Linked DNA regions of Elephas maximus indicus. The protein of the gene in region 3 interacts with the protein of the main gene of each other region in a biochemical or structural test. Links are inferred from orthologs where the notes say so. Each region holds a gene or a part of one and is shown on either strand. Other genes may lie near its edges.

Region 1 (6,638 bases), on a different chromosome or scaffold from region 3:
ATCCACTAGGTGCTCCTTGGGAACTCTATGGGGCAGTTCTACCCTGTCCTATAGGGTTGCTATGAGCCAGGATGGACTTGATGGCAACGAATTTGGTTTGGTTTGGTGGATGTGAGCAAATGCAAACTAAACTTTCTCCTGGGCATTTCTCAGGATCGTGACTGAGGTTAGAACGAAAAGCAGAGCAGGTTGAGAACTGTAGTTTGAGGCCAAAGAAAAAAGGGAGGGAGGGAGGAAGGAAAGAAAAGAGAAAAAAAAACCTGAGCATTCTTCTGACAAAGGGTAAAATGACAAGGAATAAAAAAAGCCTTGTTGCCTTCAAGTCAATTCCAACTCACAGAACAGAGCAGAACTGTCCACATAAGGTTCCCAAGGCTGTAATCTTTATGGAAGCAGACTGCCACATCTTTCTCCCTCAGAGAAGTTGGTGGGTTCGAACCACCAACTGCTGATTTTTCAGTTAGCAGCCATACGCTTAACCACAGCACCACCAGGGCTCCTTTGACAAGGTAAATTGGGCTGGATTCTCTTCCCCTGGAAACGAAAGAAATCACACCAACCCAAGCCATTGGCTTCTGTCCATGGTGCTGACATTTATTCATTTTCAAACCGCTTTCAGTAGCAGGTGGGGTGTATCCTAAAAGTTAATGGCATGGGGGTAGGAGAGGCGGGGGAAGACACAATTAACCCATTTTATCTACAGTTAGCATAAAATATGAGAAACGTTGACCAGAAGCTGCTGCTGGAACAGGTGCTCGTCAACTCGATGGCCATGGGGTAGGACAAGGTTGAGTGAGAGATCCCAGGGGGTGAGGGTCTCGGAGTCTGCCTGGGTCTGGGCCACCTTTTCTTCCCTGGCCATTATCTTCGGTACTACAAAAAGAACACAGACATGTTGGGCTCAGTGACCAGCTCTACAGGAAAAGTCAGCTTTGGATGACAGTGCTACATCTCTGAACTAGACCTCTGACCAGTTACTTCTACCAGCTCCCATGCTCACCCTGATGACTCTCTGAGTTTCAAGAACTGGTAAACAAGTTACTCATTAGCAGCTAGTGAGGGCAGCCCTTGTCAATTTCACTTGATCTTTTGGAATCTTGCAATTCTGGGAAGGAACATGAATGCCAATCAGCAGTACAAAGATGACTTGGGCCTATGAACATTTTAATTTCTCTGTGCTAGTGGCAGTAGGAATGAGCCCTGGTGGTGCCGTGGTTAAGCACTTGGCTGATAACTGAAAGGTCGGCAGTTCGAACTCACCAGCCACTGCGAGGGAAAGCCTGCTTCCATAAAGATTTACAGCCTTGGAAACCCTATAGGACAGTTATACTCTGTCCTATAGGGTTGCTATGAGTCAAAATCCACTTGACAGCAATGGAGAAAAGGGTAGTGGCAGTAGCTGAGGATGATGGCATTTGTCCTGAAGGGCCACCCACCAAGTTAGGGCAGAAATTTCAAAGGGAACAAGCCTTTATGCTGGCTCCTTTCCTGCTGAAAGTGTCCCCTGGTTGTGTTCTTTGACAAGGTTTCAGCTTCAACAAAGCCACAATCTCTTTCCTCCCCACCCCATTTCTACCCCCACTCCTCTTACCCGGAAACTGTTGCAGCCGAGGCCACTCTGGGATCCAATCCTGTCAATCCTGCCCCCGAAGCAGCTGGACCTCCGCAGGCTCCGAGGGGCAGTGAGTAGTGCCCTCAGCTTGTTTTTCAGGAGGGCAGATCTTTCGGAGGAGTCCCAGGGGCCCCTCCCAAGAGCACCCCCATCTCGCTGAGCTGGGCTGACCTCCCTGGTCCAGGGAGGCACCTCAGGCAGGGGGTTGACAGCCACCCCAGCCTCATCATTCTGCTCGTTTAGTACTTGCGGGGGCACGACCTCATCTTCTAAAGGCATCTTGTCCTCCAAATGGTCCAGCAAATTCTTTACAAAAGGAAAATACAGGGAAAGGGAAAGTTCTCATGGGCTCGGAGAAAATCACCAGAAATAGGCACAGTATCAGAAAGCCCCTTGGTCCCAGGCTAAGCCCCCTTTCTTGGCCCTACCTTGAAATCCATCAGGTCTGCATTGGACACGGAGGTGTACACAGGGTTCGCTCTGATTTGACCTGGGAGTTGAAATGCCAGGAAAAGGAGGAAGCACACAGTGATGGTGGAGAAGGAGCCCATGCTGGCGTTGGCCAAGAGCTGGTCTGGTGCTTGCTGCGTCTTCTCCTTCCTCTCTGGGTTCCTTCTCGTGGTCTTCGTCCGTCTCTGCCTACCAGCTGCCCTGAGCCGCCTCCTTTTATAGCCCCCCCAGCTCTCCGAGAGCACAAGAGGGATGGAACCCTCCCCATTCTGTCACTTGCAGCGATAAAGCAGCTGAGTGAGGAGCCAGCAGAAGATGCCCTTTTAAAGTTATCAGCCCAGCAGAGCTTGTCCCAGCCCCTCTGCCTTGAGCAGCCCCAGCAACCCCCCAGACCCTCGGCTACAAGAGCCACATTCTTGCTGATTGGCTTCAAGAGGCTCCCACTTCAAAGGTGTGAGAAGAGCAAAAAAGAGTCCTTGGTTATCTCACAGTGATGCCTCAGGATTCTTTCTCCTCAGCAACAGGACCCATGCAGGGAAGTGAAGGGTGGCGGTTGGCCGGCGCCCAGCTCCCCCAGTTGGTTTGTGGTTCCGCTGGCAGCGGCTCCAAATAAGGGCGGGACAGGAGGAAATGGCAGGCAGCCGGCAGCTCAGGACAAATCAGCCCAGATGCTCAGGCTGGCCTCACACCTGACTCATGAGCAAGCGTGGCAGACCTCCTGCCTCTGTTTGAGACAAGACCGCCCACACTTCTGATAGTCACTCTCAGCAGTCAGGTGAAGAGGGAGCTATTTTTTAGAGTATTAAATCAGCCAGGAACCAAATGTGATGAACGTCTCAAGAATTCAGCTCCCAAATACAAACACCAAGAAAAGCTGGGGGAATCAGTCATTCCTCTTCCAAACTCTGTCTCCTTCCCATCCCCCATGATCCCATCCAAGGTGTCCAGGGAGGTAGGCACTTAGAAGATGCCGGTGTTTTTATTTCTTCACCTCACTGTTTATAGAAGCTCAGACTTGTTGAGTTTGATGCTTGTAATGGCCCCCCACCCTTCCCATGAAAGCTTTGATGGCTGGATACAATGAGGTGGGAGGCAAACCTGATGTACACAGTTTCCGTTAAAACCCACCATGTCCTTCTCCAGGGCCAGCCAAGTGACTGAACCACTTAAGGCCTCAATTTTCCTGAACCCCAAGGACAAATAATAGGCAGCGAGTCTGTCCACATTTAATGAGTGGCCCCCACATTCTAAGTGCTGAACTCGACTTTAGTATACCATTCAATGCAACGCATGTTGCTGTTGTTAGCTGTCATAGAGTTGGCTCCGTCTCATGGCGACCCCATGCACAACAGAAAGAAACATTGCCCATTCCTGCCCCATCTTGATGATCGTTGGTATAGCTGAGTCCATTGTTGTAGCCACTGTATATTTTGGGTGCCTTCCAGTCTAGGGGCTCATCTTCCAGCACTATATTGGACAATATCCTGTTGTCCATGGGGTTTTCATTGGCTCATTTTTGGACATAGATGACCAGGTCTTTCTTCCCACCCTCTTAGTCTGGAAGCTCCACTGAAACCTGTCTGCCATGGATGACTAGGCTGATATTTAAAATACCAGCGACATAGCTTGTAAACAAGCTTAGCATAGCAATATGCAAGTCACCGTTGTACAACACACTGACAGACAGCTGGCAATGCATACTGGAAGAAAAAATACTAAAACTGAAAGGTTGAGAAACCTGCATTGTAGCCCAAAAACAAACCAGTTGCATAAGTTTTTGGGACCCCCATTTCCTCATCTATGAGAAAAATATAAAAAGCTGTCCTGCCCACTTCACAGGGCAGTTGTGAGGCTCAATAGAGCCAGCACTGTGTGAAGTGTGAGATGCTATATAATTGCAAGGGGGTAGTAATGATGGTCTTTTATTGATCAGTTACAATGAGCTGGCACTCTGCTGAGAGCTTGATGTGAATTACTTGATTTTCCTCACCGCTCCCAGGAGGTGGGTAGTATTGTTCCCATTTGCAGAGAGCCAGAACTGAGACTTGGAGAGATTATGTCACTCGCCCAAGGCCATGTCATTTGCCCAATTGGCAGAACCAGGACTTGAGCCCCAGGTTTGATACTTAAGCCCATGATCTTAACCCATTTCACATGGCGGCTCATTAACAAGCCCTTGGGTGCATTTCCTGATTAAATGCCTCCCCCCACACTTGATCTCTCCCATTACCCTGAACATCTCTTGCCTCCTACTGCAGCTGGGCTTGTAGCTTTGTGTGTGGGACAAATCTCTCTGTGTTTGGCTGCTCTCCCCATTTGGATTTTCTTAAAGAAAGGGCTCATCCAGTCCCCATAATCTGTTTACACACCTAATACCAACCAGAATGCTCCTTAGGAGCTAGAATAACAAGACTTCAACTCACTTACTTTGGACATGTCATCAGGAAAGACCAATCACTAGAAAAGGACATCTACTTGATGAAGAACAAGGCCAATGAAAACAAGAGAAACCCTCAATGAGATGGAGTGAGAGAATAATCTCAATAATGGACTCAAACATACCAACGATCATTAAGATGGTGCAGAACCAGGCAATATGTAAGGTCGCCATGAATGGGAGCTGACTCAATGGCAACTAATGACAACATGGAAATTCAGAAAATGTATGTTGAACAACCAGCTCTGTCCTGGCCAAATCCTTCTGCAGCTGCACTTACTCTGTGACCAACCAGGCAGAGAGGCTGTTACACCATGAGAAGACAGGGCATTAGGGCAGTTGGTGGCCAGAGGTCCCCACAGGTGTGCAGAGTGATTTTATTGTAAGACGGAAGGAAAAAGGGATCCTCTTCAGAAAGCTTGGGGGTTTGGGTAACTTATCTGGGTCAGTCAAACTCAACTTGGCATCTGAAATGGGCCACAGTTCTGAGTAGGAGCTCTGGGAACTAAACACCCCCATACCCTGATGCGTCCCCGAAATGTGCTCACAGCATAATTGCTCGGCTGGAAGTTATTATTAGCAGAGAGGATCCAGCCTGCAGCCACGCTGGGGGGAGCTGATGCCGCGTGCGTCACACAGCCTGTCTCCTGGAGATGCCCTTTGAGATAGGCCTTTGATGGAGGAAGACTTCGAGGCCTGCATCAAGGCAGGTGGCCCCTTCTTGATGGCTCGGCCTCTGAGGGCCACGTGGCTGCTCTACCCTGAGTCATTTCTGAAGCCTGTAGGAGACTGTAGGTGGCCCAAGGTGAAGTAGAATCTCATCCAAGATTCCAGAAAGACAATTTCGGAATTTGCTCGCTTCCTTTTATTGCAGTCACTTTTCTGCTCCCAGAGTGAAACTAGAGTGGGACACAAGCATCATTTGTTGAGTTTCTTCTGCTAGTCAAATTTGTGTTTGTGTGTGTGTAAGTTTTATTATTATTATTTTTTTCTAAGACAAAGGACATTCAGGCTTCCTGCCCTGAGGGCTTTCATAGAGCCAGGACTACCACCTCCCAGGGCCCAGCGAAAACAGAAAATCCTCAAAAGCACTGATATCCCCATTAAAGCTTTTGATTTCAGCCTGAAATGGAAAATGGCTTGACATAACATTTCTCTTCACTTCCATGCCCTGCTCAACTTCGGGGTGTGTGTGGAGAGGTGGAGGAAGGGGTGTTTGGAAGCCAGTCTGTAGGAGTGAGAGAGAGAAAAAAGCAAAAGACGCAAAAAATCAGATCCACCCTCCACCCCTACCTCTCTAGCTGAAAAATCGCAAGTGTTTATTTCTTTATCACAGGCAAGAAGTTGTCTTAGTCAAATGAGAGAATGAGCAGTGCGGATGGGTAGGAGAACCCAGAGTCTGGGCGTCTCCAGTTGCTAGACCAGAGCTTGGTCTCACAACCTTCCATGGGAATGTGGGGGCTGCTGCAGGGAGCACACGTGGGCAGAACTAGCAGGAAAAACCCATCTCAGTCATAACATGATTCTGTCAGACCCAGATAGTCTAAAGCAGAAGCCCCAGTTGGGAGAAACTGTTAGGACGCCGTTGCATACTTAGGGACGGTTGTTTCTGAGTTTGAAGGTGCTGTTCTTTTTCTTGCATACAATATGGACTCACTGGGGACTGGAAGCCCAGGGCAGGTCCCAAAGTAGAACAAGGAAATAGAGAAAGCTACTTCCTCAGCTGGATAGTGACTACCATGAGAGCAGTGATTCAGCCTGGTTCACTGCCCACCTTCCCTAGGAAACAAAGCCCAAGGCAAAAGCTCACTTACTGCAGCTTTATAGGGGTTCCAATTCAAGGTAAGAAGGCATTGGTAGTTCAGTGGTAGAATTCTTACCTGCCATGTTGGAGGTTTGATTCTCAGCCAATGCACCTCATGTGCAGCCACCACCTGTCTCTCAGTGGAGGCTTGCATGTTGCTATGGTGCTGAATAGGTTTCAACAGAGCTTCCAGACTAAGATAGACTAGGAAGACAGGCTTGGCAATCTACCTCTGAAAATCAGCCAGTGAAAACCCTGTGGATCACAATGGTCCAATCCACAACTGATCATGGGGATGGTGCAGGACTGGGATTGTTTCATTTAGTTGTGAATAG
Region 2 (5,788 bases), on a different chromosome or scaffold from region 3:
CACCAAGGAGAGTACCTCTAATGGTGGAACTCCGGGCAAAGGGCTGACTAGTGGGGCAGACTTGCGGACATACACCCTCACTTGTGTGACTCTGTTGTGTGAATCTGTCGTGCCCATTTCTCTCCCAGGAAGAAACGGCCCTGCTTTGAAAAGCAGTTTCTGCCAAGTGTCTCAAGTGCTTGAGATGTTTGTAGACATTTCAGAGCGTGAAAAACCCTTAAAGAAAGACACCCTCCCACCCAGCTTAACCAGCCCTTAAGGCTAGTGTCCCCACCTCACCATCAAGACGCCTTCAAGAAAACACAGGGTTTTGTTCTGTTTTTTGGAAATTATTCTTTTAATGCCCAGAGACAAATTAGTTTCAAAAGATAACACTATAATGTTGACTTTATTTCTCCATGGAAATCGTGTGCTCAAAAGTAAGAAACCATCTTTGTAAAATAACCAAATAAATAAAGATAAATAAATAGGAGTCATTGAAGGGGATCACAGGGTTGGGGAAAGACCAGCTGGAGGATCAGAGGCAGATGCCTGAGGCCAGGACTTCCTCTTAAGGGCTCCCCAGCACTGTGGGGAGAAGAGAGAGAGTGATTATATCTTTAGGCTAGAAGACTGAGGCAGGATCTGAGTGTCCCCTCACCATGTCCCGTCCCTGCCACCCACCCCCAGCCCTTGGCTGATTTTGATGTTTGAAGCCTTGGAACAATTGATCTCTGTGGGTGGGCCTCATTTTCTTCATCTGTAAAGTGGGTGTAATAGTAGCCCTGAGAAAACCAGGAGAAAGGATATCTGGGGCCCTTCCAGATAGGGGCTGCCAGACAATGAATGGGGTCCACTCTAAGTTAATTCTGCCCCTTTTGGTAAGAGAGATGATGAGAGGTGGGTGGGGCTCATGAGGATGGCAATGAATGGTGCCCGTATTTAATATTTCTAGAAAGGCACCCCTTGACCCTAAGGTCTCAGCAAGAGGGAGTGATGTGTCCAGGTGCCCTTTTTGCAAAGACTGTGGCCCCCATAGGGTTGTTATGGGTCAGAATCCACTCTACAGCAACGGGTTTGGTTTGGGTTTTTTGGTGGCCCCCAGAAACAAAAAACCCAGAAGTGTATGGAAGTGTGGACAGTGTAAGAATGGGGTGGGTGTGCAGCATTCCTGTTGAGTGCTAAGTTGGGGACTCACCATTGCAGCGCAGGCGGCTGTGGAAGCCAATGCGGTCCATCTTCCCCCCAAAGCAGCCAGAATCGCTCATCATCTTGGGGCTGGGTAGTCTCCCCTGGGCCTCAGGGATTTGAGGCTGGGGGACACCCATCGGGGATACCTCCTGGGCCTCCCCGGCTTCGACAGGGCCATGGCCCTGCTGGAGGGGCTCCAGGATCACTGGCTCCGTCTGCACCTCAGAGACCGTGACCTCCTGGGCCTCCCCGGCTTCGACAGGGCTATGGCCCTGCTGGACGGGCTCCAGGATCACTGGCTCCGTCTGCACCTCAGAGACCGTGTCCTGCAAATGGTCCAACAGCTTCTGTGATGGGTGGGGAGCCCGAGCCTCAGTAACCCCCACTCCCTCAGCACCCCCTCCATGGAGCACATGTGAACCAACTGCTTGGGTAGGGTGTCCTAGCACCCAGTCTCACTGCTTCCTGATTCCTTTTTCACTAACTCCCACAGGAAGGTGGGGATTCCTTGGAACAAGAGGTGTGGACCAGTTCTTTGCTGCTACAGGAACACTCTCCCAGCTGGCTGTATCTACAGTTTCGCAGTGCTCACCTGTAACCCGGGCAGTTCCAAGTCCAGGTCAGGGCCACCTAGAGGGTGGGAATGACCTCCCGGAGGCGACAGGTGCAGGAACAGGAGGAGCAGAAGTGCCCGGGTCAGCGCGGTCTGGTCCATGTCGAAGAGCCAGGCGGGGGTTACTGCTGCTGTGGCTGCTCAGAGCCCCGGTTGCAGTCCCACCTGTTGAGGTCCACAGGCGCTCTCCTGGCTTCCTGGGCAACCACAGCCTTTTATCCCCGTGCTGGGAGCAGGGTCTGTCCTGCCCTCCTGGGTTATCTGTGCTTTATCAGCTGCATTCCGACCCGCTGATCTCAGGGCCCAGGCATGCTCCCTTCAGGGTCTGGTACTAGTACTCCCTGGGGGTGGAGGCTGGGGAGGACAGGCCTTGTACAGAAATGGGCAGGGCCCGGACGGGAACTCGTGGTGGACACCAACAGGTTCCTTGTCTCTCCTGATTCTTTCTTTCCTGCAAAAATCCAAGGGCCAAGGCATGGCTCCATCTCCTCCGCTCTCCACCCCCAAGCATTCCTGGAGAGGGTAGGAAGAACTCCAGCATCCTAAAGTTCGACGCTAGCGCGGGGAGCACGGTGACTCAGAGTGAGAACAACGCCAAACACCGGACATCTCCCCCACCTCCCCTCCCGCCTGTAACTCAGCAATTCGCCGGAGTTCCTACGCCCAGCCCGGCTGCGAGTACCGGAGCGCCGACCGCTGTCCGTGGTGCTGACCTCGAACTTTGCTCAAACTCTACTCATGAAGTCTGGTTCTCATGGGGTTTCCCGCCCAGAAAGACCTGCACGGGGCAGGGGCAAGAGATCTCTAAGACCCCTTCTCACCGTCTTACTCCCACTCCCCTCGAGCCTTACAGCACTGGGATGCTGACCCCCCCAATATCATCTAATTAAATGCCTGGGTATGACAAGGAACTTCTGGAATGTTGACCTTTCTTCTATCCCTTAAAGGGTAGAGCTGATTCGGCTGGAATTTTGAGAGGCAAGGCCCCTGAGATGAAGTCATCCAGGAATGCCTTCTATCGCTGGTCCTCCAGTTGCCAACACCTCCTCTCCTCCACCAACCAAGACACATGATGGAAAAAGAGGTGATGGGTGGAAGGATGGTTATCTATTTGGTGGGACAAGGTGTATGGAGAGTCCCCCCCAATTCCTCCTCCATATGATTATTCATTACCTAATTCCCATTAGCAGATGGGAGCACAGGTGGACTTGCCACCTGTAATCAGAAATAGGGCTCCAAAAATTGGCTCTGGGAAGAGAAACAGCTGCTTAAACCTCCCCTAAAGTGTGCATGACTAATGTCAACACCCTTCCAGAGAATTTATGTTAACAAGAAGCAGGGTGAATGTATAGGGCTGTACAGGAAGGAAGATAAGTTATGACAGATGGGGGGAAGGGCAGCAAGAAGCTTGGGCCCCTAAGCAACTCTTGCCTAAAAAAAGCAGTTGCCAAGTGTTAAGTAGGAAAGAATACTGATATTCCCACTTTTCAGATGAAGAAACAACTCAGAGGAATTTATCACCTTTCTTAAGGCCACACAATTGACAAGTGGTGAAGCCCGGATTCCAATCCAGGCAGTCTGATTCCAGACCTGAAGCTCTTAATCACTGCTAGGGTGACTGCAAAGGGTTTCTACTAGAAAAAAAATTAATTCATTGTCATCTGTGAAGGTATAGGGAGCTGTGCTAGAGGGGGTGGGGTGAGTCTGGTGGCTGTGTGTGCAGGGGAAGGATGTTAACTGTGGGTAAGATGAGTGTTTTACAGATGAGGATGGGAGAGGGGGAAGGGTTAGGAGGTTCTAGGGGCTGGGCCAGTGTGTGTGTGTGTGCACATGCATACCACAAGAGGAATATCCAAAGATTCACTGAGAATAGAGGGGAGGCAACAGAATCCAACAAAGTGAAGAGCTGAGTAGAGGACTGGGAACTGCAAAGAGTGTAGAGGGTCCCTCACATTGGGCATCATGAAGGGAAGGGTCGGGAGAAAGACAGCAGCCAACCAGCACCTCTCAAGCACTGACACTATCTAGCCTGAACCTTACTTTTCTCTTCTGCAAATTGGGTATAATGGTGCTCTGCATCCTTGGAAGATAAATAAAAGTGAGAAAATGATGTCTGTAAAAGACTTTGGCAGTGTGAAAAGAACCAAATAATTAGAAATATGTGTGAGAGTTGGTCCCTACACCAAAGGATTTGTGATATTGCTGAGAAGACAGAGTAACTCCAGGGGAAACAATTAAGTGCTAAACACTCTGACAGAGCCTCCACCTGCCCCATCAGGCCAGGAAGGAGCCATCCCAGTGAAGGGGATTGTGGAAGATTTTAGAGAAGACACTGAACTTAATACTGAGTGTGCCTACTGTATGCCATACACTTTCCAGCTCTATTAATTGAGGGTAATGATATCACATATGTCATAGCATTACTGTACAAGGATTAAATTAGATGGTACATGTGGCAGGCTCAGTAACATTCCCCCAAAGGTGTCCAAATCCTAATCCCTGGAATTTATGATTATGTTAACCTTACATGGTAAAAGGGACTTTGCAAATGTGCTTAAGAATCTCAAGATGGGGAGTTATCCTGGATTATCTCGCTGGGCCCAATGTAATCACAAGGATCCTTATAAGACGGAGGCAAAAGGATCAAAATCATTGAGAGAAGACATACGAATAGAAGCAGAGGTCAGAGAGGAGAGAAGATGCCACGCTGCTGGTTTTGAAGATGAAGGAAGAGGCCACCAGCCTAGGATTGCAGGTGGTATCTAGAAGCTAGAAATAGCAAGGAAATGGATTCTCTCCTAGCATCTCCAAAAGGAACACCTTGATTTTAGCCCATTGAAACTGATTTCAAACTTCGGGTCATCAGAACTGTAAGATAAATTCGTGTTGTTTTAAGCCACTAAGTTGGTGGCAACTTGTTACAGCAGCAATAGGAAACTAATACGGTCTATGTAAAATGCTGAGCATAGTACCTGGCACATAGTAAGCCCTCAGTAAAGGCTGTTGCGGTGACAGTGGTAGCTCAACCCACAGGCAACTCACCTCCTTCCTGGCGAAGGAAAGGTTAAGGGCACATCTCAGCTCAGAGCCACCAACCTGGAAATGAGATGTGACAATCATTCTCTGTTGCTGCTAGTTCAGCAGGGAGCTGGGGTCTGCCCCCAGTGTCCTATGGGGTGGGGGCAAGACCACAGTGATGCTACACTTGACCTCCACAGGCCTGATCGGGCCACCTGGCTTGGCCCAGGCTAAGCCTGATTTGGGTGGCACAGGCCCACCAACTAAAGGACCAGTTTGGGTTCCAGGGACACAGAAAAGCCAGGTACAGGAGTCCCTGGAGAGATGCTGTGTGGCCCACACAGGCTGATCCTGGGGCAGCAGCTGACTTCGCAGGTAGGAGCAGACCCTGGACAGGCTTGGCCCCTGGCCCTTCCCATTCTAGGGTTCCCTACTTAACCCATCCTCTCCTTCTGCCTAGACTGGCATTAACAAGCATCTGCCGGGGGCTGCTGTCCTGGGGCTTCCTGTACCTGTACACTTCCTGCTGCACACCTGTGAGGAGCACACCAGCACCTCCAATTCTGTGCTCCAGCTGGGGCTTACTCATACTAAAAGAGTATCTGTTGTTTACCTGAAATTCAAATTTAACCAGATGTCGTGTATTCCTATTTGCTAAACTGGCCAACCTGTGGTGGAGTGAGGGTCAAGATTGCCTGCTTGCTACAGAGTTTATAAAGAATATGTTCTACATTCTACTTTGGTGTGTAGTGTCTAGGGTCTTAAAAGCCTGTGAGCGGCCATCTAGGATACTCCACTGGTATCACCCCTTCGGGAGCAAGGAAGAATGAAGAAAACTAAAGACATAAGGGAAAGGTTAGTCCAAAGGACTAATGGACCACATCTACCACGACCTCCACCAGACTGAGTCCAGTACAACTAGATGATGCCGGGCTACCATCACTGACTGTTCTGACAGGGATCACAATAGAGGGTCCCAGACAGAGC
Region 3 (6,943 bases):
CAGTCATCAATCCCCAGCCGCGTCCGCTGGGGTCACCGCCGGCAGTGGGGCTGTCAAGGCAGTGGCGATACAGGCGCATGGGCAAACTGCGGATCTCGCCGGTAGGGGGCTTAGGGCTGACACATCCCCACCCCCAGCCCTCCCCTGGGAACCTCCAACCTCCCAGCTTCCAGCCCCCGATAGCCAAGAGCTGAAGAAGCCAGGTCCGAGGGCTAAAGCAGCGCCAAGTCTGCAGGCGCTGCGGTGACCTTGGTACCGGAATGGTGAAGGGAGTAGATGTGGGTTCCTCGCCCGGGCGTGGCGAGTTCCCAGCCGCCGGACACAAATGCCCTTTTTCATAATCAGTAAAGCCCGGCGCTCCGCCTGCTTGGCTGGCAGAGATTCGGCACAGACAGCCTGGAGTTCGAGTGCTCAAAACTTGGTGGTGCATCCCCAGTGTCCGCACCTCTCTCCTTCTCTGCTCTAAGGGCTGAGTTCACTCCGAGTTCGAGGTGGTCAAGTTGGGGAGGGGGTGGCTGCAGCACCACCCTTGCTGGCGCCTCTGCCCACTCTCACGTATTCCTGAGGCCCCTGGTCTCAGATTGAGCTGTCCCCCAAGGCGAGTCCCCAGGTGCCTGGCCGTGCCACAGTGTGCACCAGGCCCGCGGCGTAACCCGCATGGGAACCGAACGCTGGGAGCCTTGCCGGGAATGTACCGACATTCCAGACGCGTGTGAGCTCCCAGGAAGGCAGAAGCGGGATTTCGCTAGCGCTGTGCTCCCAAACCCGGTTGCCCGGAACCAGAGAAATGCGTGAGGCGGAGGTCTCCACCGCCTTGCCGCAGTCTACTCTGCACTCAAACGGCCGCACTGGGGGCTTCCGCCGTTAAGGGTCCACGACCACCCCCTTCCCCACCTGCTCCTCGTAGCCACAGCTATCAGCCCCGGTCTGGAGCTCTTGGTCGTTGGTCAAGCTTGGGTATTATTCCAAACCCCCACGTACCCACCGATAAAACTTGAGGGGCACGTTGAAGGGAGGTTCAGCGCCCGCTTCTCCAGCAAGAGCTCCACAAAAAGGTTGCTACAGGCGTTTCAGAGCCCGCGACACAGAGCGCGCGGGGGCGGGGGAGGGGGGGAGGCGGCGGGAAGCGAGCGTCTCCTGGGTCCAGACAGAGTAAGACATTTTTGGTGGAAACCACAGAAGCTCATTTATAAGGGGCTACAGGGGCCATGGAAAGGAATGAGGCAGGCGATACAATGAGCCTTTAAAAGAAACCTGGGGTCTGCAGAAAGAAGAAAAAAAAAATCAGCCGAGAAAACCCGGAGATACCGTCTAGCTAAGTGTAGGAACGCGGGCTGCAGCGCGTCTCCCGACGCTGCCGCATAGGAGGGGACGCACGCCGGCCAGGGGTTGGGTAGTAAGTTCTTTGGGCCTCGACATGTTTTCAGACCCTGGCTGTAGCGGGGTACGGGAGTGTCCCTCTAATCGCCAGTCCCACGCCAGAGAAGGGGGAGCGAGGAAGAAAACACCCAGGCGTTTTGACGGCACCTGTCGGACCTGGGCTGGCAGGAGTGACCGGCTCCCACGCCCGTCCCCCAGTCTCCGCGACCTCCCCGGGCCCTCAGCGTGCTCCCTTGGACTGCGGTGGGCGACAGTCAAAGGGCCCAGGGACCGGCCCCCACGCGAGTGCTCTCCGCGAGTCCACAGCCATGGAGCGGGCAGTGTGCCTGCCATGAAGGGTCGGGTGTGTGTGGAGAGCCGCGGAGAGCCGAAGGTTGGGGCCGGGGCTTGGGGCGCGCTCCCTCTCACCTCGCTCGCTGGCCTGGATGTAGCGCATCAGGTCGTCCAGGTCCAAATCTTTGGTCTCGTCAAAACTGTAGGCGGACGTGTGCAAGCCCTCCTCCTGAAAGACCTCGTGGACCCCCTCGAGGGTGAAATAGCAGTTCCGCTCCAGCTTGTCGTCGCTGTAAACCAGCGCCGCGCGGCTCCACTGGTGGTGGCGGAACAGAGCGAGCAACATCTCGCCCATCTTGGCGTAGGCGGGCGCCACACGCGTGAGGTGCGAGTACTCGGTGTCCTTGTGCTGGAAGCCAGCGGCCAGTGCCCCCGCCGACAGCATGGGTAGGTTCCAGTGCGACGCCAGCCGGGCTACAGGCGCCGCCGCGTACTCGCACACGGGCCCCAGGATGAGATCGGGCTTGGCGCCTTGCGCCGCTGCCACGCGGTCCACCAGGCTGAAGAGCGCGCGGTTACCGCAGTCCGAGTCCTCGTAGGCCACCTGGAAGCGGGTGCCGGGCGGCAATAGCCGCTGCCCGGTCCCGTTGCCCTCCACGCTGCGCAGCGCGTACTCGATGGCCGGTCGTACACGGGCCAGGGAGAACAGGTACGAATCGTCCTGCGGCAGCAGCACCAGCACCTCGATCTTCTGCGGGGGCAGCGCCTCTCCCTCCCGGCGCCCGGGGCCTGGGCCCGCGCCCCCGCGGTCACCGCCACCCGTGGCGCCGGCCAGCACCGCCCAGCCTAGCAGGACGCACGCGGAGAAAGTGAGCACCAGCAGAGACGGCATCGTGCCGCAAGCTAGCGCCTGCCCTGGCCGCCGACTCGCCCTCTGCCCCTCACCCACCCTGCCGCGCCCCTCCCCAATCTTCTCTCCGAGGTCCCTGCGCCCCCTTGGGCGCTATGAGAAAACAGAATTCCCCCCTTCGCTAGCTCGCCAGAAGATAAAGAGGAAGAGTCCTTCTCTGCAATGTCTGTAGTTTAAAAAAAAGAAAAAAGAAAAAGTTCACTGCGTGTAAACCTGTGCTCCTGTAATATCTTTATATACTTATTATAAATATATATATTCGCCCTCCCTGTACATATACTATTTTGCTTAGAAGTGGCTTCTTATTTGGGCGTTGCTGAGATTGCTTTTGAAAGCATATTTGTAAAAGAAAAAAAAGTTAGACTTGTCCAAGTGCTTGTAATTGACGGTGCATCTCCCTCGCGTTTGATCTCATTGATTCGCGCCGGTTCCTGGATCCATAGCCCGCGTTTAAATAGCGTGGCAGCGGCGGAGCGTGTTGCCACACAGGGCGCGCCGAGGCCGGACTTGTATTTCCAGCGGGTGGGGTGTTGGGGGTGGGAAGAGGTGGGGGGCTGGGCTGGGGGAGCCTCTCATTAACATTCTTACATCAAGGCTCCTCCCCGCACCCCTACCCTTCTCACTGCCCTCCCCACTCCCCGACACAAACACACCAGCGACCTTACGCCCTGCTCCCCTGCAGCCCTGTTCTTTTCCTTAAAGCCGCAACCGCCCAAGTCTGCGCCGAGAGAAGCCCCCAACGCCGCGCGCTACCACGATCGCCACCTCTCCGCTGCCCCGCGTGCGGCAGCCCACTCTGCAGCTCCCTGCCTTAAAAAAGAAAATATGTTTGGAAGTAAAGAAATGTTCTCGCCGTACCCACACACACTGTGCCAAAAAAAAAAAAAAGGATTGGGGAAGGGGTGGTTCTAGAAATAGGTGGTTTCCGTGCAAAAATTCCTAAGTCCCGGTCGCTCTCACCTCTTTCTAGCGCTGACCACATTGGCTCCTGACGCGCCGACTCCGAAAAGGCACCCGACCATCTCGGTCTCCCGGCGCAAGGTCAGCAAGCGGAGTCCAAGGCTCCAGTGCAGACGACTCACCGACCTGGGACACCGACCGCGCGGGGCTGACAAGGGCGGACCCCACACCTCCCTCTCTCCGGCTCCCGCCCCCTCCTTTCGGTCGCGGGGTTTCGCTCTGGTTTGGCAGCGGTGCCAGGGTGCCGGGGCCCCTGCGAACAGACTCTCCGCTAGAGCAGTTCCAGCGGGAAAATGAAAATTGTTCCCAAAGGAGTGGCCGCTAGCGAGCGGTTCGGCTTCTGGAGGTGACAAAAAACTTGAAAGGTATCCCCAAGACATCTTCGGGACTTTGGTTGCTACATCAGGTAACTAAATAAAAGGACCGTCTCCCCACAAGTTTCCCCCTAGGGTCGCCTGGGTGCGGCGCAGCTTCTCTCCAGCCCGCGCCCTGGGAAATCCAACCGTTTCTCCCTCCTTAGGGACGCGCGAGACGCTGTGCTCGATGTTCGGCGATGCCAGGAAAGGTCCTGCCTCCGAGACCCAGTCCTGCCACTGGTCGCAGTCACAGCAGCAGTACAGACAAGGATAGAAACAGTCGCGGAAAAGCCTGTGGCCAGAGGCTCCTCGCCGGAATCCGCTGCGCGGTGGAGCAGGTCTTAATGGAACTTGACCGTCTCAGTGTGGTGATACACCGAGGCTATTTGCAATGTGAACGTGCTACATTGGACGGAAGAATTTACACACTTAAGTCTGGCAAATTAAAATAAATTGAAAATGTTTTAAAATGTTCTTTCCTTTGCCTGGGCTTCGGTGTCCACAAATTTCAGAAAGTCTTAGACCAACGCCCTCTTTCGGCAGAAACGTGCACCCGACTCTTAACCCGGGTGCCACAGCCCCCAGGCGCTGCGTTTTTTAACTCAGGAGCCCTGAAGAGCTCTCGCTTTCATGTGTGACCTTAAGAAAGCAAATCGGGGTTTCGGGGGATGTGCGAGGTTTAGACATCGGCCCTCGCCGCTGTTACTAGCACCCTCCTCAGGTCTCTTTCTGGTACCGCAAATTAATTCTGGGTGCAGCTTCAGCCTCTGGGTCGTTTTGATTTCAGATTATACACTGTGATCCCTGAGTCTTCACTGTAAATTGTTGTTGTTAGTTGCAGTGGAACCTCATCCGACTCATGGACACCCCGTGTGTGCAGAGTAGAACTACTCCGTAGGGTTTTCAAGGCTGTGACCTTTCCCAAGCAGATCACCAGGCCTGTCGTTCCAGGCGCCTCTGGGTGGGTTTGAACTGCCAACCTGTCGCCTAGTAGTGGAGAACTTAAGCCCTTGTGCCACCCAGCTTCTAATTCCTGCCAGGACTTTTACTTAATTAGAGCTGCTAAGAAGCATCAGTTAAAAGTTTAATTCTACGAACTGGATAATCCACAGACTCTGGCAATCGAGAGCCTCGCAGCAATTGAATCCTTCCTGAATCCCTTAGAGGAGGGCAGGCATTTTATGGGATCATAGATTTAAAAAAAGAACAAGGGCTAAATTCCTAATTCCAGAAGTCTTAATGGATTTCAAATCTGGTTGCCAGGAGACGCAAAGGAACACGGGGTTTCCTATTTCTCCCCGGAATGCCCTGTGTCTCCAACGCGAGCCAAAGGCGATATAATTCTGCACAGTGTGTGGTGTGGGCTTTTGCGGAGAGGCTGGGGTTTCAGTGACACCGGGCGTAAATGCCTCTCCCCTCCCAGGCGCTGCCCAGCCTCACCGAAGGTCAGGAGCAGGACAGTGCGTTTACGTTTTGGGTGAGTACCACAGCCTGCCCGAGATCTCTGGGTAGGAGCTCTTCCCGCTTGTGACCTAGAACGCAAACAAGATGAAGCTGTGGAAGCAGAGTCCCCTAACTAGACAGCAAAAAGAGAGCCAGTGCTCAAAATATCCCCACAAAAACGTCCCATGAGCAGAAATGAGGATTGTGGAAGAATATTTTTCAAATAAAAATAAGCACAAAATTATAGGAAGACCCACCAAGGAATATCAGCATATGGCATTTTAATGTCATGGGTTTATTTACTTTGATCAAGCTTGATTTCTAGCAACCAGCTAAAAGTTAGTGTAAATATCACGGCGTTCTAAAATCTTAGGGCTGGAAAAGATCTTAAGTCACTAGGCCTGACACCGCTCACTCTGTAGATAAGGAATTGAGGCCCAATGACTACAAATGACATAGCTAAATACCTCTTCATTGCCTGAGAACATTTTTAATGGGACCGGATTAGAAATAAAGCATGTATCACCTATTATACCACTTATACCACGTAGAAAAGGGTTGAGGAAAAAGCTAACCCTGACCTTAAATAATAGCCTTTTTATATCAACAATTTGTATGTAGCTAAGTTTTGAGAATATACAGCAAAGCATAACTGAAAATTAGTAACAAGTCATAACAGAATTTTTTGTAGCACCATAATCATAAAGATGAACCAAAATAAATAAGATTGAAAAAAAAGGAAAAGAAATAGAAACAACTCATCCCTTAAGCTCAATTTTTATATACTCTTCCTTTCAGTGCTATAAAACACAGGAATGGCGGTGGGGGGGAGGGGAACAGCACTTTTTTTTTAACATTCAAAAGGATGCTAACTGCTTCACTGAGTGCATCCTTTCTGGCTAATATTAGTGAATAATAGTAAAGAAAAATTATGGGGACATTCTGGAAAAGAAAAATAAGATTAGTCAATTGAAACTTAGATGCAATGTTAGCCCTATACATGCTATTCCAGAAACTAATAGGTTTTTTTATAGACTTTAGAAACGACTTCATCAATACACATAAACTATGATTTTCTAACTTTTAGCTACCAAAATAAGGTGGCAAGTTTTCTAGAAAGAACTTTGTTTTCCAACTCTATGAAATGAAACATAGTATCTATATGTCATCCCTCTGTCACCAGGAAAGGCAGCACCATATAGGGAAACTCAACATGTGATAGTACGAAATGTATTAGAAAAGCTATCAGGAAGAGGTTTGCTCCACCAACTGTCATAGGCCATATTTATCTCCTCTCCTCAGAATCCTGGCCACAATCACTAACATAAAAGCCCCTCCAGATTTTCAAGGAGAGCTGCTGCTGCTTCTCCCTTGTCAAGCCAGCCCTGAAGTCACATTTAAGAACATCCCTGGGAAGCCTCTCGCCCACAAAGAAAATACTTCTGGGGACAGAATTGTTGAAAACACACTTCCCCCTAGAGGCAGAAAAGATGAAAGAATATTACACATAATTCAAGAACATTTCTATAATGTAATGAGCACTGAGATTTTCTTTTGAACATATAGTTGCTGTTTTAGAGGGAACCATTGGAGGCGAGAGGGGAAAATCAATGGATGCCCA

The links.
Region 1: the proteins of NPR3 (region 3) and NPPA form a complex in vitro, tested with the Homo sapiens proteins (4 studies listed by BioGRID, with this or other methods). The link is inferred for Elephas maximus indicus from reciprocal best matches to the Homo sapiens genes NPR3 and NPPA.
Region 2: the proteins of NPR3 (region 3) and NPPB form a complex in vitro, tested with the Homo sapiens proteins (4 studies listed by BioGRID, with this or other methods). The link is inferred for Elephas maximus indicus from reciprocal best matches to the Homo sapiens genes NPR3 and NPPB.

The regions. Positions count from the first base shown.
Region 1 is NC_064821.1:51,713,211-51,719,848, forward strand, and holds NPPA (natriuretic peptides A), read right to left. Parts: upstream 2,386-6,638; 5' UTR 2,164-2,385; coding exon 2,041-2,163; intron 1,919-2,040; coding exon 1,592-1,918; intron 874-1,591; coding exon 862-873; 3' UTR 579-861; downstream 1-578.
Region 2 is NC_064821.1:51,724,913-51,730,700, forward strand, and holds NPPB (natriuretic peptides B), read right to left. Parts: upstream 1,886-5,788; coding exon 1,763-1,885; intron 1,518-1,762; coding exon 1,407-1,517; intron 1,317-1,406; coding exon 1,178-1,316; intron 568-1,177; coding exon 551-567; downstream 1-550.
Region 3 is NC_064820.1:37,835,666-37,842,608, reverse strand, and holds the start of NPR3 (atrial natriuretic peptide receptor 3), read right to left. Parts: upstream 3,069-6,943; 5' UTR 2,546-3,068; coding exon 1,789-2,545; intron 1-1,788. UniProt on the Homo sapiens protein: Receptor for the natriuretic peptide hormones, binding with similar affinities atrial natriuretic peptide NPPA/ANP, brain natriuretic peptide NPPB/BNP, and C-type natriuretic peptide NPPC/CNP.